3 linked regions of the Pelodiscus sinensis genome follow. Each later gene encodes a partner of the first gene's protein in a complex. Links are inferred from orthologs where the notes say so. Each region holds a gene or a part of one and is shown in the gene's direction. Other genes may lie near its edges.

Region 1 (6,893 bases):
ATGATGCATAGGGGAATGGACGCTACTTGGAACTATAATTGTTTTCTGAATATACTCATTTTGCACACAAAAAGCTGAATATATTGAATATTAAGTGGAAGAAAATCATACTTACTGTGTACAGTAGCCTCAGTCTCAAAATAACTTATTTATATATTGGGGGAAGTACTTGTCTGATCAAATCCCGCTATGAGACTGCTGTGCTAACACATGGATTACTTAAATGTTACAAACTCAATATTCATTAGGGATGAAAGGAGTTAGGAGTTATAACTGCAGCAATACAGGCAGTCCCTGGGTTACGTACAAGATAGGGACTATAGGTTTGTTCTTAAGTTGAATTTGTATGTAAGTCGGAACTGGCTCCAGATTCAGCTGCTGCCACTGAAACTGACCAGGGGCTGACTACAGGAAGCCGGAGGCAGAGTTGCTCTGCCCCCAGCTTCCTGGAATCAGCCTGATCAGTTTCAACAGCTGCTGAATCTGGAGCCTGGAACAGAACAGCTGGGGCGCCGCCCGGTAGGTTCCCACAGGACCAACCCGGCAGCACCCCAGCTGCTCTACCCGAGGCGTCCCGCAACAAAAGCCTGGTCTGCTGGGGGGGGGGGGCACACTAGCTGCGCCCCCTCCCCCCCCAGCAGACCAGGGAGACCCGAGCAAAGCCGCACAGGCGGAGGGACCCAGGCGGCGGCTTTGCTCAGGTGTCCCTGGTCTGCTGGGGGGATCCAGCGGCTTTGCTGGACCCCCCCCAGCAGACCAGGGGGACAGAAGCAAAGCCGCCCAGGCAGCGGGGGTCCCGCCGCCTGGGCGGCTTTGCGCCCGGGCAAACAAGCAAAGCCGCCCAGGCAGCGGCTTTGCTTGGGTGTCCCTGGTCTGCTGGGGGGGTCCAGCGGCTTTGCTGGACCCCCCCCCAGCAGACCAGGGAGACCGGGAGAAGCTTTTCTCACCCCGGAGGACACGGGTGGCGACTCGCCGCCCGTGAGCTCCGGGGCGAGAAAAGCCCCATTCGTAAGTGCGGATCCGACATAAGTCGGATCCGCGTAAGTCGGGGACTGCCTGTATACCTAAAGTTCATTAAGTGTAACCAAGTTAGGAAAGGCATTCTATGAATTCTATTGCCAAGAGAAGTAGTAGTAGTTCTACTGTCTGAGAATTAAAACTTTACTGCAGCTTCTAATCATGCACCAGCACGGACACAGATTAGATGGCTTTTTCCCCAGTTTTAGTTTTTATAATGGTATGCTCATATTAATTAAAACATCCTGCCCTATCAATTACTCTGTTATACAGAAATCCAGGCCACTGTGCTTTGCTGGCTTTATATGAAGAATATAAAAGAGTTTTGTACCAGAAGGCTACCCCGTACATCTCCAGACAGTCCTTGTGCAAGATAAGCAATGCCACCTTGTGGATAAATATATACACTCACACTACATTCACTTCTAGGGGTATGTCTACACTGCAATGCTATTTGGGGGAAATAGCTATCCCCGGGTCTTTTGAATGTGTCCGCTATTGCGAAATATAGCAGACATACTATTTCAGCATCCCTGTAAACCTGTTTGCATGAGAGATAAGGAATGTCTTGAAATAGTGTTTTATTTAGAAATTTGGCACCTGTAGATGTGCCAAATTTTGAAATAGCCTATTTTGAAAAAAAGACTAAATAAGAATCTAAATACGATACGCAAATTGCGTAGCGCAAATTGCATTGCACAAATTGCACATCTTATTTTGAGCTAAGGGTGTAGACGCATCCTAGGATGAGGCTGAATCTGGTTTGCAGATTTGTAACCCTGTGAGTTCCCAGGTTATTACAGACAAGGAGAGTGGGGGGTGGAGGAATATCTTTTAATGTCTGGATCAGTTTCAGTGGACGAATTTCATGTCATCCAGAAATATAAAAAATGAAGTTCTAAGTTGGGGGCAATGACCACTTTACCCCCAATCCTGCAATGACCTTTCATTAAAAAAAATAATTTTTTTTTGCTCAAATGTAACAGGCTCATTCTCAGCTCAGTAATGAATTTATTATTTATTTGGAAATATTTGTAGGCAAAATAGTTCAGTAGTTTTCAAAACCAAAAAGAACAAAATAAATTTAGTACTGTTTGGGAGGCACTTGCCTGCTCTGGCCAGAACTGGAAAAATAATGGGGCATGAAAAAGTCTATGAATAAATCATCAAAGTCACAGGACTGCGTGGAGCAGCTCTGTGCACTGGGTCAGGATGACACTAGGGCTATGTCTACACTGGTGGGTTCTTGCGTAAGAAATATGCAAATGAGGCTAAGCATGGAATATCGCTGAGCCTCATTTGCATACCTAATGAGCCGCCTTTTTTGCGGAAGAGGCTCTTGCGCCAGAAGGAGCTGTCTACACTGCCCCTTCTTGCGCAAGAAAAACCCTCACTCCATCCCTAGCAGCATGGATGCAGCCAGGTGAATGCATTACAGAGGATGACTTCTGAGGTGTCATTAGGCTGCAGTAATGGGGGTCACTGTAAGTACATTAAAGCAGTGGTTCCCAACCACCAGTCCGTGGACCAGTGCCAGGCCATGAACCGTTGGCTGCCAGGCTGTGGCACACTGCCAGGCCATCCCCATGCCTTGACAGGCAGGGGCTACCTGGGGAGAAGAGAACAGGAGGCTGGCTTGCAATACCTCGCCTGCCCCACAGAGCATTAGCTGCCATGGCTCTGCCCCCGCAGCCGAGTGTTTACTTCAGCTCCTCTCCTCTAGTATGGAGCAGCGGCATGGCCAGGGTGGGACGGACCAAACTGTTGCTGGGGAAGCTGCGGAGGGATGGTCAGAGGGCCTTGGCTACTGACAGAGGCTCGCTGTGGGGATGTGAGACCTTCCCACCTGTCCCATGTGCGTCCCCTGGTCCTAGAGGCAGGTGGGAGCATCCTGGCTTCTCATGCTGCAGCAGCTTCTACCTTCTCCAGGGGTCCCAGGTAGGCTGCAGTTGCTCTGCCCAGTTCACATGTGGGACATGGAGACTGGGGGGGGGGGGCCTATGTGACTCCCTCTTTCTAGAGGTGGGGACTAGTTCAGTGTGGTGGGGATAGGAGAGAGTTTAGGGTGTCTAACTTCTTTCCCTCTGGGCAGCAGGCAAAACAAAAGGCCTACCTCATGACATTTGCATGTCCAAAAGTTTCAGAGGGGCAGCCAAGTTACACTGTAATAGAAAAAAACTTAAAAAACAACAAATAGTCCTGCAGCACTTTAGAGACTAACAAAAAGTGTAAGTGGTATCATGAGATTTCCTGGGCATAATTACATTTCAAAGAAAGTTTACATAGGTGTTAATCACTCAAGATAAGAAAGGATTCTTTTAGAGAATTTTTAGTGTTGTAGATAACTGCAAACTCTGATCTCTTCCAATGACGTGTATTGTGTGCATGCTTATGCGATGTAAAATAACACATGACCTCTTAAATTAATTAGCATAATAAATATGCAAATAGGCCAATAAAATATTACCAACCCACCAAAAGTTTGTGAACAGGTTTGTGGGTCCGCAGCATTAAAAAGATTGGGAACCACTACACCGGCCCCTGACTCTGCAATGGGCGCCACGTGCTTGGCTCCTCCCTGGGCCCTAGAAGACACTCTGGCTCCCTCCTCTGCTCCCCCATCATAAAGTCCCTAAAAAAGCGCAAATCGAACTCCAGCCCGCGCACACAGAGGATTACGGTAGGGAAAACCAGCTGCTACAAGAAGCCCCTATGCAAGGGAAGGGGCGTGGCCTTCTAGCTCCGCGAGGGTTGCGTCACTAGCCACGCCCCGTCGTTCGGTCTAGCCACTCAGCACCCGACTTTTCCGTTCGCGCGCTAGCCCCCGGGCCCAACGGGATTCAGGCTTTCGTGGGCGGGCAAAAGGCGGGAGGTCAGCGCGCACTCCCGGAAGCGAAGGAGCGGACGTCACTTCCTGGCTTTCTCTCGGACTCCGGCGGGCGCACGTGCGGCCCAGCGAGTAATTTTTGTTTTCAGCGCTGCCTTGTGCCAGGCCGCGTTGCCATGGTGAGGGGGGCCGCGCCGCGAGGCGGGTGGGATTGCCGGGGGGGGGGGCGCCCTGGGGTGGGTGAGGGGCGGCAGGTGCCGGGGGAGCCCTGGCCGCGCTCGCGCTGACCCCGCTGTTGTGGTGACTCGCAGAGCTTGCCCCTGAACCCCAAGCCCTTCCTGAACGGGCTGACGGGGAAGCCGGTGATGGTGAAGCTGAAGTGGGGGATGGAGTACAAGGGCTACCTGGTGTCCGTCGATGGCTACATGAACATGCAGGTCAGTTGGAGCCGGGACGCGCCCCCCCTCCCCCGTTGGCCCCAAGGGCTCCGGGAGACCCGCCCCCTCGCGCAGCCTGGGCTTGCGGAAGGAGTTCGGGGGGAGACGGGGGCGGCTCAAACGTGGGCGTGTGGGGTTGCCAGCTCTCCCGGACCGGATGCCATTGCCGCAAATGGTGTCCGGTCCTACCTTTCGGGAGAGTTGGCAACTCCGTTCCGTGGGGAGTCGGGGGGTGCCTATGACAAGGTTGTTCAAAAGGGGACACGGGGTCCCCTTTGCGGCGTGAGGGTTGTTCAGGGGCCTCATAGCGGGGTCGAGGGCATCAGAGGTGAGTGACTTGCCTGCTATCAAAGAAGACCTGGCAGAAGTAGACCCAGATCTTACTGCTTCTGCACTGCCTAGTTCTATGTGGAGCCACCTACACCCTTGCTCCTGCAGTGCTCTGTGCAGGGCAGCAGCATCTCCAACATGAAGGTATGATTGGCTTGAGAACTGATGAAAAGGATTTACACAAAGTTTGGTTTGTAGACTAGTTCTAAAGCAACAGACCATATTTTGCTATATATGGCACACTCTTCTGGTCAGATTCTTCAATGAAAAGTGAAATATAATGAGCTACATGCATAATAAAAACAAAGAGTTCTAATGAGGTACAAGTTACTATTAAACAGACCCAGTTTCCCAAAGGGCCCAGTAGTCCTTGTAGAATGTCTTTAGCCTGACAATAGTTTATTGATTGCTGGCTGAGAATTTTCTTCAAACAATTGTGCTAATGTTTTGTTCCTTAAAGCTTGCAAACACAGAAGAATACATAGATGGTGCATTGTCTGGACACCTTGGTGAAGTTTTGATAAGGTAATTATCAAAATAGATTATTTAGTAAGTTATGTAGTGGATGTATTACATTTGTAGATGGACAGAACTCTTCAATTCCTTAATAGTCAGCCTAAAACAGTCTGAAAATTTGCAATATTAAATACTTTAGTTGCAGTTTCTAATTCTGTGCTAAGCAATTTCTGGCAGATCATAATAAAAATCATACTGGTTGCACCTCCCAAAACTGGAATTCTCTGGTCCAGCCAGACCATGGAAGTTCCTTCATCAGAGAACTCTGGTAGCCTAGTGGCAGGAGGGTAATCCAGGAGGAGCAGGGCTGAAGCAATGGGATGGGGCAGAGGTTAGGGCTGGCAGCAGCCCACAGCAGTGGAGCTGGAGCCAGCAGTTTCTGATAGCCTGTGGCACTGGGATTGGTCAGGGTAGCACCTGGCAGCGCAAGACTGGGACAGCAGCAGGCAGTCTGGCCGGGGCAGCAGGGCCAGCAACCCAGCAGGCAGCCCTGTCGGGCTGGAGGTAGTCCTCCATACCCGTTCCCCCCCCCCCCCACCCCCCCCTAAATCCCCAGCTGGCAGAGTCGGCGGCTGGGGGCTATGGTAGGAAACTTTTCTAGTCTGGCAACCTCCCTAGTTCAGGATTGGTTAGGTCCCAAATGTGCTAGATAAGAGATGTTCAACCTGTATTATCAGGGGAGGGAAGAACCAACTACAATACCCATTTCATAATTTCTCCTTTTTGTAACTTCTTTCATATACATAAATAAGATCCCAGATAACCAATGAATCTTTTGTCAATAGTTGAGAAAAATCTTACCAATAATATCAAGAAGTTAATTAGGCACTGAATAGTTTCACAGAAATGATGGGTCTCTAAATGAGGAGAGGTAGCAGAGACTCCAGTGAGTGTATGTGTCTGAGGAGGTAGAGTGGATTTTCAAAAGAGTATCAACAAATTTTTGCATATATATTAAGGTCCAGCTCCTGCAACTTTATGTGCTTGAATAGGGATGTTAGTGAGTAATTTGAATAGTTGTATAACTACATCAAATTCCAGTGGTTGCATGACTATTTGATAGTCCCCAGGGACTATTAGAGGCAGCAGCACTTGGTGGCAGCAGTCAGTGTTCCCTCTAAGCACAGCTTCATAGGTGATTAATAAGCTCTACCCAGGCTCAGGGAGCTGACTGAATGGGTGGGGATGATTAATCACCTGTAAAGATATGCTGCAGAGCAGATTAGAGGGAACACTGACAGCAGCCCCTGTCTGCAGGGGGGCTGAGCTCTCTTTGTTCACAGAGAGCTTGGACCTCCCGCAGATAGGGGCCACTGCTGCAGAGCAGCCTCCATTTGCAGTGAGCCTAGGTCCACTGTGGAGAGGCTGCTTTGTGGTAGCTTCTTCTGTGACACCCGCTCCTCCAGGTGGCTGAGCAGGTGACTCCACAGAGCGCTGTAGGAGGCAGCAAGAGTGGGAAGAGGCAGATGGGTCTGTGGATAGCCAGCCTAACAGCCTGCTCCCCATGCATACTGGCTCCCCTCTGCCCCCTCACCCTCTGTGCAAGGCAGCAGTGTGGGGGTGGGAGGGAGGAGGCGGATCCAGTGCTCATGAGGTGCCTGCTTAAAGCCAGCTCCCGTTCTCCCCCCCCCCCCATATTCCACTGTCTCTAAAGTGGGGGGAATACATGTAGTCAAAAGGATTAACTAATAAGCCCAGGCTTATTACTTAATCATATAGTCATCTGCTCATCGACATCCCTATGCTTGAAGTTAAGCATGGGCATC
Region 2 (6,860 bases), on another chromosome or scaffold:
CAAATTCAATTTAAGAACAAACCTACAGTCCCTATCTTGTACGTAACCCGGGGACTGCCTGTATTTAGAAAGCTAACTGTTGCACTCTTCTGTTTAGCATCTGTAATTGCAGTTGCTATGTTTGGATGGTTAATAGCTCGGTGCAATGGTTGTTTATACAAAACCTCTGTGTTGCTACATGGCTAGATGTATTCCTCATCAAATAATCCCCAGAGATTGAGGAGTAGAAATGACACAAGGTAGTCTGGATAAAACATGGTGTTGTTGCAGTTAAAGCTGCATAAGAACGTATCTTCTAAACAGCTCTTTTCAGTCATTTATTAACTTTTTTTTTTTTTTGCCATCTGGCTGAATTGTTTAGGCTAGTGAACAATGTGTATGCACTTTAAAGTTCCTCATCAATTCAGTAAACCATTTTAGGTAAAGAAAATGTGTGAGGTCTTACTCTATGGCAAGCAGACTGGGAGTAAGGGTCAGGCTTTGAGCCTAAATTAAATTAAAGCTGTTTCTCAGCCTGTTTGGGGGTAGTCTGTAAAAACTGTCAACAGGTTTGCAAAGCATTGCTCCCTTATTATCTTCTAACACATGATCAAGATGCATATTTCAATTGGCTACAGCTTTTCATTCAAAGGAGTCCTGTTCTGTCAGGGTGCCAGGGGAAGTTCACTCACTAGAGGGGTTCCCAATGTTACCTCTAATTCTTCCCACCTCTAGTGAAGTGAAATTTGTTGCATGCACCAATATAGAGGTAATGTTTAACACATCACCTTCATATTGGTACACATAACAAAATTCATGGAGTCAAGGGGTTCTGAGTGTGGTAGGGGCTCAGGCCTGGAGCAGAAAATTGGGGTGCAGGAGGGATTTGGCTGAGGGTATGGATTCTCGTATGGAGCTGAATCTGAGGGGTTCAGGCTTATATCAGAGGATTGGAGTGCAGGGATGTGAGGTCTCTGGCTGGGGGTGCAGACTCTGGGGCTGGGTTAAGGATGATAATTTTGGGATGCAAGAGGGAACTCCAGCTTTGGGAAGGGTTGGTGTACAGGAGGGGGTACAGGCTCTGGACTGGAGGCATGGGCTTTGAAGTGGGGCTGGGAATGAGGTGTTTGAGGTGTAGGAGGTGGCTCCAAGTTGGAAGGACTCTGTGTGGTGTAGAGTGTTGAGTGATGGGCTTACATGGAGGCTCCTGGTCAGCAGCACAAAGGCAGGCTGCCTGATGCCTGCCTGCCTCGGGCATCACACTGTGCCCCAGAAATGGTCATCAGCTCCAATTCATGAGGAAAGTGGCAAGAGGCTCCACCATGCGTGCTGCTGTTGCCCACATACACTGCCTGCCCCCAGCTCCCATTGGCTGGTTCCCAGTCAATGAGAGTGCAGTTCCAGTGCTCAATGCATAGAATCGTTTATCCTCTGCCGAGGAGCTGAACCTGATGATGGCTTCCCTGCTGGCCAAGGGTGGTGTTTCAAGAGAGCATGGGGTGTGTGTGGAGGGGGAGGAGGGCAGCAGCTGTGCATACCAAGACACAGCTTGCTTTTCTTCCAGTTCCCCTGATGATAAGGGAACGAAGGGAAAGTACTTGGATTCCATGCATGCCTCTCAATCCTGGCTGGTGAAGGAAGGGGGCAGAGGAGTAATTCACGGAATGCAAGCACTTTCCCCTCATTCCCTTATCATCAGGGGAACAGGAAGAAAAGCAAGCTGTGTCCCAGTACACCCAGCTGCTGCCCCATTTCGCTCTCCCAAAAATGGCACCCTTGCTGCTACCCATGGCTTCTTCCTAATGGGATTCAGTGAGTGGCGCTTCCCTGCCAGCTGTGGCTGCTTCGTGCTGGGGCCAGTAGGGAGGGGGCCTTTGTCCCATCCACCACAGCTCCCTGCTCCAGCAAGTAAGGTAGAGCACCTCTCCCCTATCTGTGGTAGCTTTGGGGTTTGGGTAGAGGCATCTCTTTTCGCTGCCATCCTCAGCGCCTGTGCAGGTCTTAATGGGATGATGAGTGGCCGTCCCACAGCTCAGATAGAACAATGCTTTCAGTAACTCTGGTGTTTGAAACTAGAAAGGACTCTCCTGAAAGTTATGCTGCCCTATATACAGGGCTCACCGCCAGTGGCTTGCTCCATCTATCCCCAGCTGCCTCAACACCCAAAACATGCTGTGAATGCTGTGTCACCACAAAAGGTGCTGTTGGTGCTTGATGAACCAGGCTCATCTAAAATCAATGGCCCTAAACCATACAAGCTTACTTAGAGATGCTGCAACAATATTTATAGTGGAAGGCCAAAGTTGTCCTTAGCAGTTCTGGTGTCCTACACAGCCCCCCGTGGGGGACACTCTGTAGTAGGGGCAGTCCATCAATGAGGGTAGGCAGGAGCAGGGCAGCCAGGCAGGGAAGCAACAGAGGTTGGGCCCACCCCCACACTCACAAGCAGCAGCAAGAAGTGGAGAGACCCAGACCCAGCCCAACTGCTGGTTCCCACATCTTGCGCAAGTGTTCTTGTGCAAGAACACGTTCACAATGCCATGTGCAAGATGTGCTTTTGCACAAGAGCATCCATGGCAGTGTGGATGCTCTCTTGCGCATGAAAGCTCTGATGGCCATTTTAGCCAAAGGGCTATCTTGCGGAAGAAACCCCTGCCAAGCATCCACACTGCCCTCTTGTGCAAGAGAGCTTACACCTGTTAGAAAAGAGCATAGCTCTGGCACAAGAAGTCCTCTCCTACCACGCTTTACTGTAAATCTTCTTGCGCAAGAGCAGATGGGCAGTGTGGATGCTCTGTGGAAGAACGGCTGATCATGTGCAATAACCCGCCAGTGTAGCTATAGCCTTGTTGTCCTGGGAAGGGGTTTAGGAAAAAGGGTGAAACTAACTCTGAACTTGCTGGTGGTGGTGGAAAGCAGTGTGATGTGGTTGGAAGCTAGTGGAGTGGAGCAGGCTGCAGCTGGATCACTCTGCTTCCTGCTGCCACCAGTGAGTATGGGGCTGGTCCTGATCCCTGCTACCAACACTAGGCCCCCGTTTAGTCTCCTAGCCCACTTTGCTCAGGGGTTGGGGTGGAATGGAGGCGAGGAGGGAGCAGAGCAGGGTGGTGTGGGTGCAGCAAAGCAGTGGTGGGGCTTCCGGAAAGGGTGGGGTGGGCTCCACACACTACCTTCCACATCCTAATGACTTAACCAACGGAGGTGCTAATTGTTTTTATCAGCCTCTTGTAACTTGAACAATCTGTTCACTGTCATTTTTCTCTTTTTCTTCCTCCCTTTTCCCTTATTTATTCTTGGCTCTGGACTTTTATTGGATCTATTGCAGGCATCTAAAGAAGTGTGTTGTACCCACAGAAACTCATGATACCATCTACATATTTTGTTAAGTCTTTAAGGTGCTACTAGACTATTTGTTTTGATTAAGTTTTACCCAATTTAGAGACAGCTCTGCTGTGCTCAGGCCACAGGCAGGGGGTGGTGATGAGCCTGGCCACCAGTGCCTGCAAAGCTGCTGAAGGTAATTTGGGGGGTACCCTTGCAGCTGTGCATTTTGCAGACTGGTAGCCTTGCGGGGTGCTGAGAGCTACTCAACCAAACTATAAAGCCTGTATAGAGCCCCCCCTGCATCCTCACGCCAGCACCTAGCGCCGCGCATCTTTTGCAGGGAGCCAGAAACACTTCATCCTTCCGCAGCTCTCAGCGCCCCCGGCACCTCCCCCCGCTGCACTGGGCATCGGGGGGGGGGGGGAGGAAGGAATCGAACCCCCGGCTCCCAAAGCAGCGCGAGCCGCCTCCGCCGGGGAGGGGCCGGGCCTCCCACGCCCGTTAGGTCCGTTGCTCCTCCCGCCTTCTTCCTAGTGCCTCCCGCCCCCTCAGCGCTACAGTGCCGCGCGTGTGCGCGCGCATGTCTCAGCGCGTCAGTTCCGGGGCAGCCGGGCAGGCGCCGGAAGTAGTTCCATAGGAGAGCGGACCGGACAGCGCGGCCGGTTTCCTGCTGGGGGAGCGGGCACCATGGTGGAGGTGAGAGACCGGCCCCGCCCCCGAAACTCCAGCACCCGGGCCCGGGGCTTGCCGTTGCCGGAGCGAGGAGCTCGCGGCCTGAACAACGCGCGCACGCGGGGGGCGGGGGGATTTCGGCCTCCCCTGTGTCAGCGATTAGCTCCGCGCCGCGTTCCCGATACGCCCCCTGCGGGGTCTGTGCCCTCGGGACGGGGGGAGCCGCGTTCCTGCAGAAAAGGTTTTAAACCTGCGGGAAAGGTGTCGCCGTCTCTGCCGCTTGGCGGTAACGTGAGCACCCTCCTGCCGCCCTGTCAGCCCTAAACCCGACAGCCGCTCTCCGGCACTGGGCCTCTGCTGGCTTTACCAAGGGGCTTGACCAGTAGCAAAGGGTATGGCGCGGCGTAGGGGACTGTTGATTACCCTCCCTCCCCATGTGTCTCACCAAAATTTTAATTGCTACATGGGATGTCCCCTCCCCCGCAGCCAGTATTTGCCCCTGTGGTGCTGCGTTTATATGGAGGTCTGGCAGGTAAAACTGGACAGAAAACCATCAGACTAATTTCTTTTATTATCTGATTACATGGCCTGTTAGGTGCCATAGATCTCAAAGTACTTTACAAAAGCAAGTGGCATTAGCATCAAACAATAGGAATTGCAGTGTTCAGTCAGACCAGACCAGCAGATTATCTTGTTAATTATGTTTTAAAATTATATTTAGGCTCTGTAGAACTATAATTTTGTTATACCAATTAGTAATATCCATTTTCATTTGTAAGCTTTTTCCAATTTTTAGAATTTAAATGTTCATGCTTCTTGGAAACTATTGATGGAGGCTCAGACTATTGAATGACAATAGATGTTGATTCAAAAAGTTAAAAGTTTGATAACTGTTCAAACACAAATTGTCAACCTCACATGTCAAAATATAGGAAATAAATATCCTTCAATCACTCAACAATAAATTCTTGAGTAGCTTTTTTTCTCCTGACTCGCTTTATTGGTTATTTATAAAAATGTAGCTGGCAAGTGTAAATAAAAACCTTTTTTGTTTGTCTTCATTAAATTCACTTATGTGCCTACAGTTGGAAATAAAATGTTGATCAAAGTTTTGTCCTGCTAGATTTTTTTTCTCACAGTATCCCATGAAAGGAAAAAATAATTAAGTGGTGATTTAAGTTTGAGGATGGGGAAAATGAAACTGTCTCTTACACCAAATTATAGTTTTTACCACTCAAGCACCACTGCATACACTAAACTGAGTTCGTTTCTTACATATGGAAGACAAGAATCATTAATTTTCTTGGTAGTTTTCAGGCTTTTCATTGAATTATCATATATATAATTAAACCATATATATAATTAAATGTATCTCCTCTGCTGCAGGAGGTGCAAAAACACTCTGTGCACACATTAGTGTTCAGATCCTTGAAGAGAACTCATGATATGTTTGTGGCTGATAATGGAAAGCCTATACCATTGGATGATGTAAGGTAAGAACAACTATCATAAAATTATTGGTATGTCTAAAAACATTAATGTGAGGCCCTCCTTTGCAACTGTTTCCAGTTTCTTTGCTTTCATTTAATTTTTTTGTATTTGGTCCAGTTTAGATTTCATTATAAACTAAAAATTAATTTTGGAAACTATATTTGGTGCTTCTAAAATAAAATACTGATTCTGGGGACAGGCAACTGCTGTTGGAAATTGACATTTAGTAGTCCAGAAACTGACAAGAATGTCATTTTCAGTCAGCCATTGTTGTAGCTCCCAAGGTCTGTAGCTCTCAGGCGGCCCTCCCTGAAGACCACCCTGCCCAATGATCTCAGGGCTTCCAGATTACTAGCCAGCAGCTAGTCAGAGTCCGGAAGCTGAGAGATTCTTGATCCCAGGGCAGTCTTCATGGTGAGGCTGTCCTAGATACACAGAGTGTGGAAGTCAGTATCAGGACTTCCAGGCTCCTAGCTTCATAGCAGGGAGTCTTGAAATCCAGGCTGAAGCTAAGGTTCCCAGGGCTTATAGATTCTCTGCTGTGGAGCTAGGAGTCTTATCTTCTGAAAGCCTGTCTGGTTGGGTTGGGAGCTTGCAAGGCTGACTGGCTGGCTGTCAGTTCAGTGGCAAGGACTTTAATAGCTTTGTCGTAGAGCAGTGGTCCCCAACGCGGTGCCCGCGGGCGCCATGGCACCCGCTGGGGCATTCGTGTGCGCCTGCCAACAACTTGGGCTGGCCCTGCCCCCGGTGCACTGGAGGCCCTGGCCCGCGACATGCACCGGCGCTGGGTGCGCGGCGCTCGGGCGGCCCCAGCCCTGGGGCACGTGCGGGCGCTCGGGCACGCGGTACTCGAGCAGCGCTGGTGCCAGCTCCAGGCGCGTGGCTTGGGTGGCAGCGCCAGCCCCGGGCCCACGGCACAAAGCGCTTGGGCAGCCCCAGCCCCGGCCCTAGGGCACACACCGGCACCGGGTGCAAGGGCATCCCAGTCCCCTGACGTGCCCCAGGACGCGCGGCCCCGCTCCCGGGCGCCTGGCGCGTGAGTGGCCCCCACCTCCCGGGTGCCCAGCGCGTGAGTGGCCCCACCTCCCGGGCGCCCCGGAGCCTCTAAAGGTTGGGGACCACTGTCGTAGAGGGATTGCCATGGAAATGTGAACTAGGGATGTAAAATCCCATTTAGTTGATTAACTGTAATGTGTAACTGATTAACCTATTAAAGGTGAGGCTGCCAGGGGACTGCTTTAGCCTGTTTGTGGACTCCCCCACCCCTGACGTGGACAGAGGCTGGTCTGGGCAGTCTGGAGTGCCCCATCTGAAACAGCCCCCCTATGCGCAGTGGGCGGGGAGCAGCTCCAACCCTCACTGGTTAACCAAAACCAGTAAGCCTCACCCATTAA
Region 3 (7,709 bases), on another chromosome or scaffold:
CCCAGCCCTGGGGAGCAGCTGCTGGCTGGCAGCATAGCCTCTGCCACCCTGGCCTGCACCAACTCAGTTGATAATCAACTGGCAGTACACAGTATTACTGTATTATGAAAGTGTATCGAGTGAGGTCTTTTCTGAAAGCTAAGGACACAGTGGTGATTAATCATGTGAAACGTACGTATGAACACTGTCAGAAATTATGGCTACACATTTATATTAGGCTATACAGTTTGCCCAGACAGCAGAGAATGGCACAGACAGCTAACTACCTGTCTCCTGTGTAAATCAAGAATGGTGGAAACAACCAGTGGAAACCCTATTTATCTTCAGGGGGGCGGGAAGCCCACAGAGAGGAAAGAACAGCAGGAAGTCATCCTGCCTCTGGAAACATTGCTGAACTTTGCAAACTATAAGGAAAGGCACAAGTCACCTTTGGTGTCCATCACAAGACAGACCTATGAAAATGGAGCTTGTGTGAGCTGAGAGAGAGGTCCTTCAACTAAAGGGCAGGGGTGGAGTCTGGAAATTGAATATAGGCGAGAAACCTGTTTAGGCAAAGATTGTACCTGGCTAGATTAAGTTTGGGATTTTTAGAAGCAGGTTTTGTTTTACTCGTGACTCTATTTTAATGTCTTATATGTGAACTGACTTACTCCTCTGTCTATTTTGTAAATAAATGCACTTTCCTCTTACCACAACCCAACTCAGCCCTGTGTTTAAGGGAAGGGTGTATTTACCCCCAGTTCAATTAGGAAGCTGTTGGTGCAGTTTTATCTCTTTTCTGGAGCAATGAACTTCATTATTTCTCTGAGCTGGAGAGGGCTGGACATTTCAGGGCATATCGTTTGGGGGAAATTAAAGACTAGGGCTGTGTTGGGGTCATCTTGCTAGTTGTAAATAAGGCTGATGGAGCTCAGTGTGTAGCTGGATCTGCTGCTGGCCTGGGCCTATAGTTCCACACAGAGTGTGGTCTATGTGCTGGTAAGCTGGTTGTGAGTAGCCCAGGTTGGGAGCTACAGCAGCAAAGCAGGGAGGAACAGGACAGGCACGTCACTGGCATGGACTGCACCCTGAACTGCCCAGGCCATCAGAGATGGAAACAATGCAGGACACCAATTAACAACCAGTGAACTGAGTGGTTTCCATATGAAACTGGACATAGGGAATCCCCAAGTCTAAGTTCCTAATGGAGTCCTGCAGCAATCTGTTCTCGGCCCTGTGCTATTTGAACACAATCCGAACAGAATGAAAATCATCCCTGATAAAGTTTGAAGCTGACATCAAAGTTGAACGGGTGGCTCATACAGAGCGATCCAGATTGCTGAGGTGAATGGACATAAGCAAACACTTTGCATGTTAGTACTGCTAGCTTTAAACGTCTGCCTGTAGGAACAAAGATTGTCCGCTGTATTTACAGGTGCGGGGACTCTTGAAAACAATTTTTTTTGGGGGGGAAGGGGGATAATCAGCTGAGCATCAGCTCCCAGGGTGATGCAGTGATCAAAGGGGCTCATGCGATCCCAGGGTGCCTGAACAGGATAATCTTGAGTTGTGTAGAGAGGTTATTTTTCCTCCATTTGGGACTGGTGTTCCAGCAGCTAGAATCCTATGGCCAGTTCTGCCATCCATGATTCAAGAAGGATGTTGATAAACTGCAGAGGGTTCGGAGTAGGGATGTCAAATCCCATTTAATCGGTTAACCCACATGGGGCTGCCCCACGCAGGAGCCTGGTGAGGCTAGAACAGTCCTCCTCCTGCAACAGGCTGCTCCCAGGTATCAGTTAACTGTTACTCAGTAAGCATCACCCGTTAACGGCAATGCATGCCGGATAACTGGTTAACCTGTTACCTGTCACATCCCTATTTCAGAGAAGAGCTATGGGAATGATGAAAGGCTTATAGAATATGCCTTACAGAGAGAGACTCAAAGAGCTCAGTCTACAAAGAGACAAAGGATGAGTGGATGACAGTCTATAATTATCTAGCTACATGGGGATCCAGTTCTGAATAATGGGCTCTTTAATCTAGCAGAGAGGTCCAATATTTAATCAATGAGCGGAAGTGAAAACTAGACCAATTCAGACTGTAGATAGGCATAACTTTTTATCAGTGGCAATTAATCACTGGAACAGTTTACAAACAGCCATGGTGGATTCTCTGTCACTGACAGCTTTAAAATCCAGATGGGCTGTTTTTCTAAAAGCTCTGCTCTAGGAATTATTGGGGAGCAGTTCTCTGACCTGTGATATGGGAGGTCAGGCTAGATAATCACAGTGGTTCCTTCTGGCCTTGGAATCTATGAATGTAACTCATGTTCTCTTTGCAGTTTTAGATCAATACAAGAGCCATCTTGACTTCCTGTCCTGCAGTGTTGCTGCTACGCAGCTGCCCGTGTTCTACACTAGCTATGGAGAGGTGAATGATTTATTCTTTTCTCTGGTCCTAGAGCATACGGGGGATCCTTTCCAATTGAACGTTGCTATAATAACCTGAATTGAGATATTTCTGCTTCAAGTGTTGTAGCTGTGGACAGTAGCCCAAGACAGTAGAGACAGGGTGGGTGAAGTAATATCCTTTATTGAACTAACTCCTGTAGATGAGACAGCCAAGCTTTTGAACTACACAGAGCTTGTCTCTCATCAACAGATGTTAGTCCATAGAAGGTAATATCTTACCCACCTTGTGTCTCCGGAAAAGGAGAAGCTAGTGACCAAGCATACCTCTTTCCCCAGCTCTGCACACTGTAGAAAGAAAGTTCCTTGTTTTCAGGTTATGTCTGGAGCCAGTCCCGGCTGCCGTGGAGGAATGTTCTAGGGACCATCCAGCAAATGAGCAACCCCAGCCGCATCAGAACCCCAATGCCTGAGCTACAGGGGGACAAGGGCAGCTCTCTGGTCTGGTGTCAGTCACACGGCTCACAGCTCAGTGACTCAGACACAGCAGCGGTGAGATAATCACCTGCTAAAAATAATGAATTGAGGAATACATCTCTGGCCTCAAAATCGGTTGGGTTTTTTTTTAACCTAATTTTCTGTGCTGCTGATGTCACGTCCATTCATTATCTAAATGAATCACCATGCCCCCATTCCCGTTCCTCACATGCCAATGAAGAATCTAGTGCTCAGTATTTACTGGGGGACCTAGCTATTCAAGGTGACTTTCAAAGCTGCCTGAATTTGGGATGTAAAATCCCATTTGATTAGTCAATTGGTTAAAAGTTAAGTTTAACTGGTTAACTGATTAAACAGGAGCAGAAAAGATAAGAAGTCCTGTGGCATCTTAGGGTGCGTCTATGCAGCATCCTTCTGTCAGCATAAGCTACGCAATTTGCACATCTTATTCCGAGTCTAGATTAAAAGAGTTTATTTTGAAATGTGGTGCAGTGTAGACAATGCCAAATTTCAAAATAAGGCACTATTCCCACAAATCCCTTAAACCTCGTGGAACAAGGGTTATAAGGACACCGGAATAGCGTGCCTGCTATTTCGGGAAAGGGCGGGTGCCGGGTGGGGTGGTGGGTGCAGGGCACTGTGCATTTGTGCTGGCTTGAGGGCTGCGGTGCAGTGATGGGGCGCAGGGCCTGGGGGCGTAGAGTGCAGTGATGGGGCTCAGGGTGGGGCGCAGGGCGGGCTCTGGCTCTAGGGGAGTGGTGATGGGGTGCAGGGCCTGGGGGTTTGGGGTGGGACGCAGGGCGGGCTCTGGCCCTAGGGAAGCAGTGATGGGGCGCAGGCCCCGGGGGCTCGGGGTGGGGCGGGCTCTGGCCCTAGGGGAGCAGTGATGGGGAGCAGTGATGGGGCACAGGCCCTGGGGGCGCAGGGCGGGCGCTGGGTGCAGTGATGGGGCGCAGCGCCTGGGGACTCGGGGTGGGGCGCGGGGCGGGCGCTGGGTGGGGTGATGGGGCGCAGGCCCCGGGGGCTTGAGGTGGGGTGCTGGCCCTAGGGGAGCAGTGATGGGGCGCAGGGCCCGGGGGCTCGGGGTGGGACGCAGGGCGGGCGGGCTCTGGCCCTAGGGGAGCAGTGATGGGACGCAGGGCCTGGGGGCTCGGGGTGGGGTGCAGGGTGGGCGCTGGGTGGGGTGATGGGGCGCAGGCCCTGGGGGCGCTGGGTGGAGTGATGGGGTGCAGGGCCTGGGGGCTTAGAGTGCAGTGATGGGGCGCAGGGCTCAGGGTGCAGTGATGGGGCTCGGGGTGGGGCGCAGGGCGAGCTCTGGCCCTACGAGAGCAGTGATGGGGCGCAGGCCCTAGGGGAGCAGTGATGGGGCACAGGGCCTGGGGGCTCGGGGTGGGGCGCTGGGCGGGCGCTGGGTGGGGTGATGGGGCGCAGGGCGGGCGCTGGGTGGGGTGATGGGGCGCAGGCCCTAGGGGAGCAGTGATGGGGCGCAGGGCCTGGGGGCGCTGGGTGGGGTGATGGGGCGCAGGCCCTAGGGGAGCAGTGATGGGGAGCAGTGATGGGGCGCAGGGCCTGGGGGCTCGGGGTGGGGCGCAGGGCGGGCGCTGGGTGGGGTGATGGGGTGCAGGGCCTGGGGGCTTAGAGTGCAGTGATGGGGCTGGGGATGGGGCGCAGGCCCTAGGGGCGCGGGGCGGGCGGGGGCAGCACGTGCCGGGTGGCGATCAGGGGCCGGGCTGGCCACGTGCCCGCGCCCCTCGCTCCTCTGCCCCGTAGGGCTCGATCCGGCCCGCGCGCGCGCCTCTCCCCCCCCAGCGAGGAGCGCGCGGCTCCGCCCCGGGGCGGGGCTTACTGCTGGGCCGGGCGCGCGCCACCCTTCCGGAGCGCCCGGGAACTGCGCGTGCGCGAGAGCTGGGCTGAGCAGCCACCGCCATGAAGTAGGTCGGGGCTGCCTGGGGCGGGGGGGCAGCACAGGGGATACTGGAGTGTGGGGGGGCTGGGTGGGGATATGGGGGCAGGGAGCAGCATAGGGGATACTGGAGTGTGGGGGGGCTGGGTGGGGATATGGGGGCAGGGAGCAGCATAGGGGATACTGGAGTGTGGGGGGGCTGGGTGGGGATATGGGGGCAGGGAGCAGCATAGGGGATACTGGAGTGTGGGGGGGCTGGGTGGGGATATGGGGGGCGGGGGGGCAGCACAGGGGATACTGGAGTGTGGGGGGGCTGGGTGGGGATATGGGGGGCAGGGGCAGCACAGGGGATACTGGAGTGTGGGGGGGCTGGGTGGGGATATGGGGGGCAGGGGCAGCACAGGGGATACTGGAGTGTGGGGGGGCTGGGTGGGGATATGGGGGGCGGGGGGGCAGCACAGGGGATACTGGAGGTGTGGGGGGGGCTGCCTGGGGATATGTGGAGGGGCTGAGAGTGGGAGGAGGCATTGGACAGGGCGAGGTCCCTACCTTGGTAACTGTTTGGCCTTTGCACTGCAGCCCCCTGACGAAGGTGAAACTGATCAATGAGCTGAATGAGCGGGAGGCAGAGCTGGGCGTACAGGAGAAGGTGTCCTGGCATGCAGAGTACAGTGATAGCGCCTGGATCTTTGTGGGTATGTGATTTGTGCAGCAGTCTTGGTGCTGGTTCCCCCAGGTTCTGTATCATGAGCCCTGTGTGTCAGTCTATTTCCCTGTTGCTGCGTGCTGTAACAATATTAGCCCTCCCAGGTTCATATTTTGGTCTAGGGATGTAAAATCCTGTTTAAAAAGGTAACCAGTTAGCTTTTGATGTGAAAATGCGAATGTTTAAGGCAGCTATGAATGGGACACATACAGTCCACTTAATTAGCTTCATTAACATGGGTCCTGCAATTGATAAGTGGTATTTCTGCTGTTTATATATATCTTGGATTCTATTATTTCCACTCCAACTCATCTGATAAAGTGGGTCTTGCCCACAAAAGCTCATGATACTATATATTTTTGTTAGTCTCTAAAGTGACACAGGACTACTGGTCATTTTTAAGTTAAAATAGAAGTTCTGTAGAACTTCATCAGTATTATGAAATGGTTCTGATTAAATCAAGTGACTTAAAACTTTGAAGAATTGTCGCTTAGGCTATGTCTACACTGCAGGGTTTTTGTGCAAGAAGTCTTTTGCAGAAGAATCCTTGCACAAAAACTTCTTGAGCAAAAGCGCGTCCACACCTCAAAGCACATCCACACTGCATGGATGCTCTTGCACAAGAAAGCTCTGATTGTCATTCACAGAATGGCCATCAGAGCACCTGTGCTTTTTTGGATAGGCTCTTTTTGCACAAGAAACTCCGATGGAGCGTCCACAGATGCCTTTTTGCGAAACAGCTGTAGTGCAAAAAGGAGCTATGCCTTGTAGAAGGAGGTTTACCTACACCACAAAAAACCCTCTGTTCTGTCGATTGACTGTAGATTTTCTTGCGCAAAAACGCGCTTGAGATGTGGCCGCTCTGCGGGTTTTTACGCAAAAACCTTGTAGTGTAGACGTACCTTAGAGTGTGGGAGTCAAGAGAGGCATATTGGGTTGAGGGGGACAGGCATGATAATCTGCAAGGCCAAGGATAAGAGCTGTACTGCAGTCCTGTTGAGCCTGAGCAGCATTAACATTTGTGTCTTCTTCCCAGGAGGTCTCCCCTATGAGTTGACAGAAGGTGATATCATTTGCGTGTTTTCACAGTAAGTCGAATTTCATTCTTCATTCTCAGTAGTTTAGTAAGGTCGTAGCATGAGGCCAAACAGTTGGTGTTTAAGCCTTGATATTGGATGACACATGGCCTCTTGTGACATCCCCCCACCTCAGTCACTGCAGGAGAAATCTCGAGGGCTGGTGGCTTTTCCTTCTCTATTACACTTTTCTTAGTAGTTTTTCATGGAATTGTCATTTCCCTCGCCTTTGGTGTCTTGTGACTTCACTTTTTTCTTTCTAGATATGGAGAAATTGTGAACATTAATCTGGTGCGAGATAAAAAGACTGGAAAATCGAAAGGTTTCTGCTTTATCTGCTATGAAGATCAGAGAAGCACCGTACTTGCTGTTGACAACTTTAATGGGATCAAGGTTGGTATGTGAAAGAAAAGAGACCAGCCTTTAAGTGAAGTCCTGTTTGTGCCCAGGTTGGCTGCTAGTGTGTGGCTATTATTTGCTATGACCTTAGGGCTCCCAAAGCTTCAGTTCACCATTCTTTCCACATCCAAGGGTGCGCAGTTAAAAGCATTTGTGTCCGCAGAGGGAATTACAGCAGTATATTAGTGCCACAAGAGAAGTGATGTAGATATGACCCATGGGATGGATCCAACCTTCAGAGATGTTCTGGTACCATTTGATTTCAGGATGTGTTCATGTGAATGCTCTGTGACTAGCACTTCTGTGGCCGCCTTTTTCATGGAGATAGTTATGCCCTGTTTGTTTTTTAGTTTGCACATTTTTTGTACTACTGATGAGATAGATTTTATTTTTTAAGAATGGATTTGGGGATATTAGACCCATGACAGAGGCGTGGGGTGTAGAGTTATCCTTTGGTAATCTGTGGGTGATATTAGTTAGTGGTTGATGATTTGCGCTTTGGTTAGGATTATAATACGCAGGGCTCGACAAATAATGCAATTGACTCGCCCGAGGCGAATAGATTACAACCCGGAAGAGCCGGGTGCGGGCGATCTGCGCATGCGCAGATTGCCAGACAGTGCAGCTGGCGAGCAGGGCTCGCCGCGGTTTGGCGAGCCCTGATAATACGTATGTTTGTATTTTAACCATTTTTATACGACATATTTACCTTAGAATAGTTAAATATACAGTTGTTT

The links. The genes of interacting proteins can lie anywhere in the genome.
Region 2: SNRPF (region 1) and PLRG1 share a complex: the UniProt entries of both Homo sapiens proteins name them as parts of the minor spliceosome. The link is inferred for Pelodiscus sinensis from reciprocal best matches to the Homo sapiens genes SNRPF and PLRG1.
Region 3: SNRPF (region 1) and RBMX2 share a complex: the UniProt entries of both Homo sapiens proteins name them as parts of the minor spliceosome. The link is inferred for Pelodiscus sinensis from reciprocal best matches to the Homo sapiens genes SNRPF and RBMX2.

The regions. Positions count from the first base shown.
Region 1 is NC_134711.1:81,493,932-81,500,824, forward strand, and holds the start of SNRPF (small nuclear ribonucleoprotein F), read left to right. Parts: upstream 1-3,889; 5' UTR 3,890-4,020; coding exon 4,021-4,023; intron 4,024-4,155; coding exon 4,156-4,281; intron 4,282-5,071; coding exon 5,072-5,136; intron 5,137-6,893. UniProt on the Homo sapiens protein: Plays a role in pre-mRNA splicing as a core component of the spliceosomal U1, U2, U4 and U5 small nuclear ribonucleoproteins (snRNPs), the building blocks of the spliceosome.
Region 2 is NC_134715.1:56,845,409-56,852,268, reverse strand, and holds the start of PLRG1 (pleiotropic regulator 1), read left to right. Parts: upstream 1-3,842; 5' UTR 3,843-3,990; coding exon 3,991-3,999; intron 4,000-5,361; coding exon 5,362-5,468; intron 5,469-6,860. UniProt on the Homo sapiens protein: Involved in pre-mRNA splicing as component of the spliceosome. Component of the PRP19-CDC5L complex that forms an integral part of the spliceosome and is required for activating pre-mRNA splicing.
Region 3 is NC_134723.1:2,297,800-2,305,508, forward strand, and holds the start of RBMX2 (RNA-binding motif protein, X-linked 2), read left to right. Parts: upstream 1-4,691; 5' UTR 4,692-4,814; coding exon 4,815-4,819; intron 4,820-5,370; coding exon 5,371-5,486; intron 5,487-6,533; coding exon 6,534-6,585; intron 6,586-6,836; coding exon 6,837-6,966; intron 6,967-7,709. UniProt on the Homo sapiens protein: Involved in pre-mRNA splicing as component of the activated spliceosome. As a component of the minor spliceosome, involved in the splicing of U12-type introns in pre-mRNAs.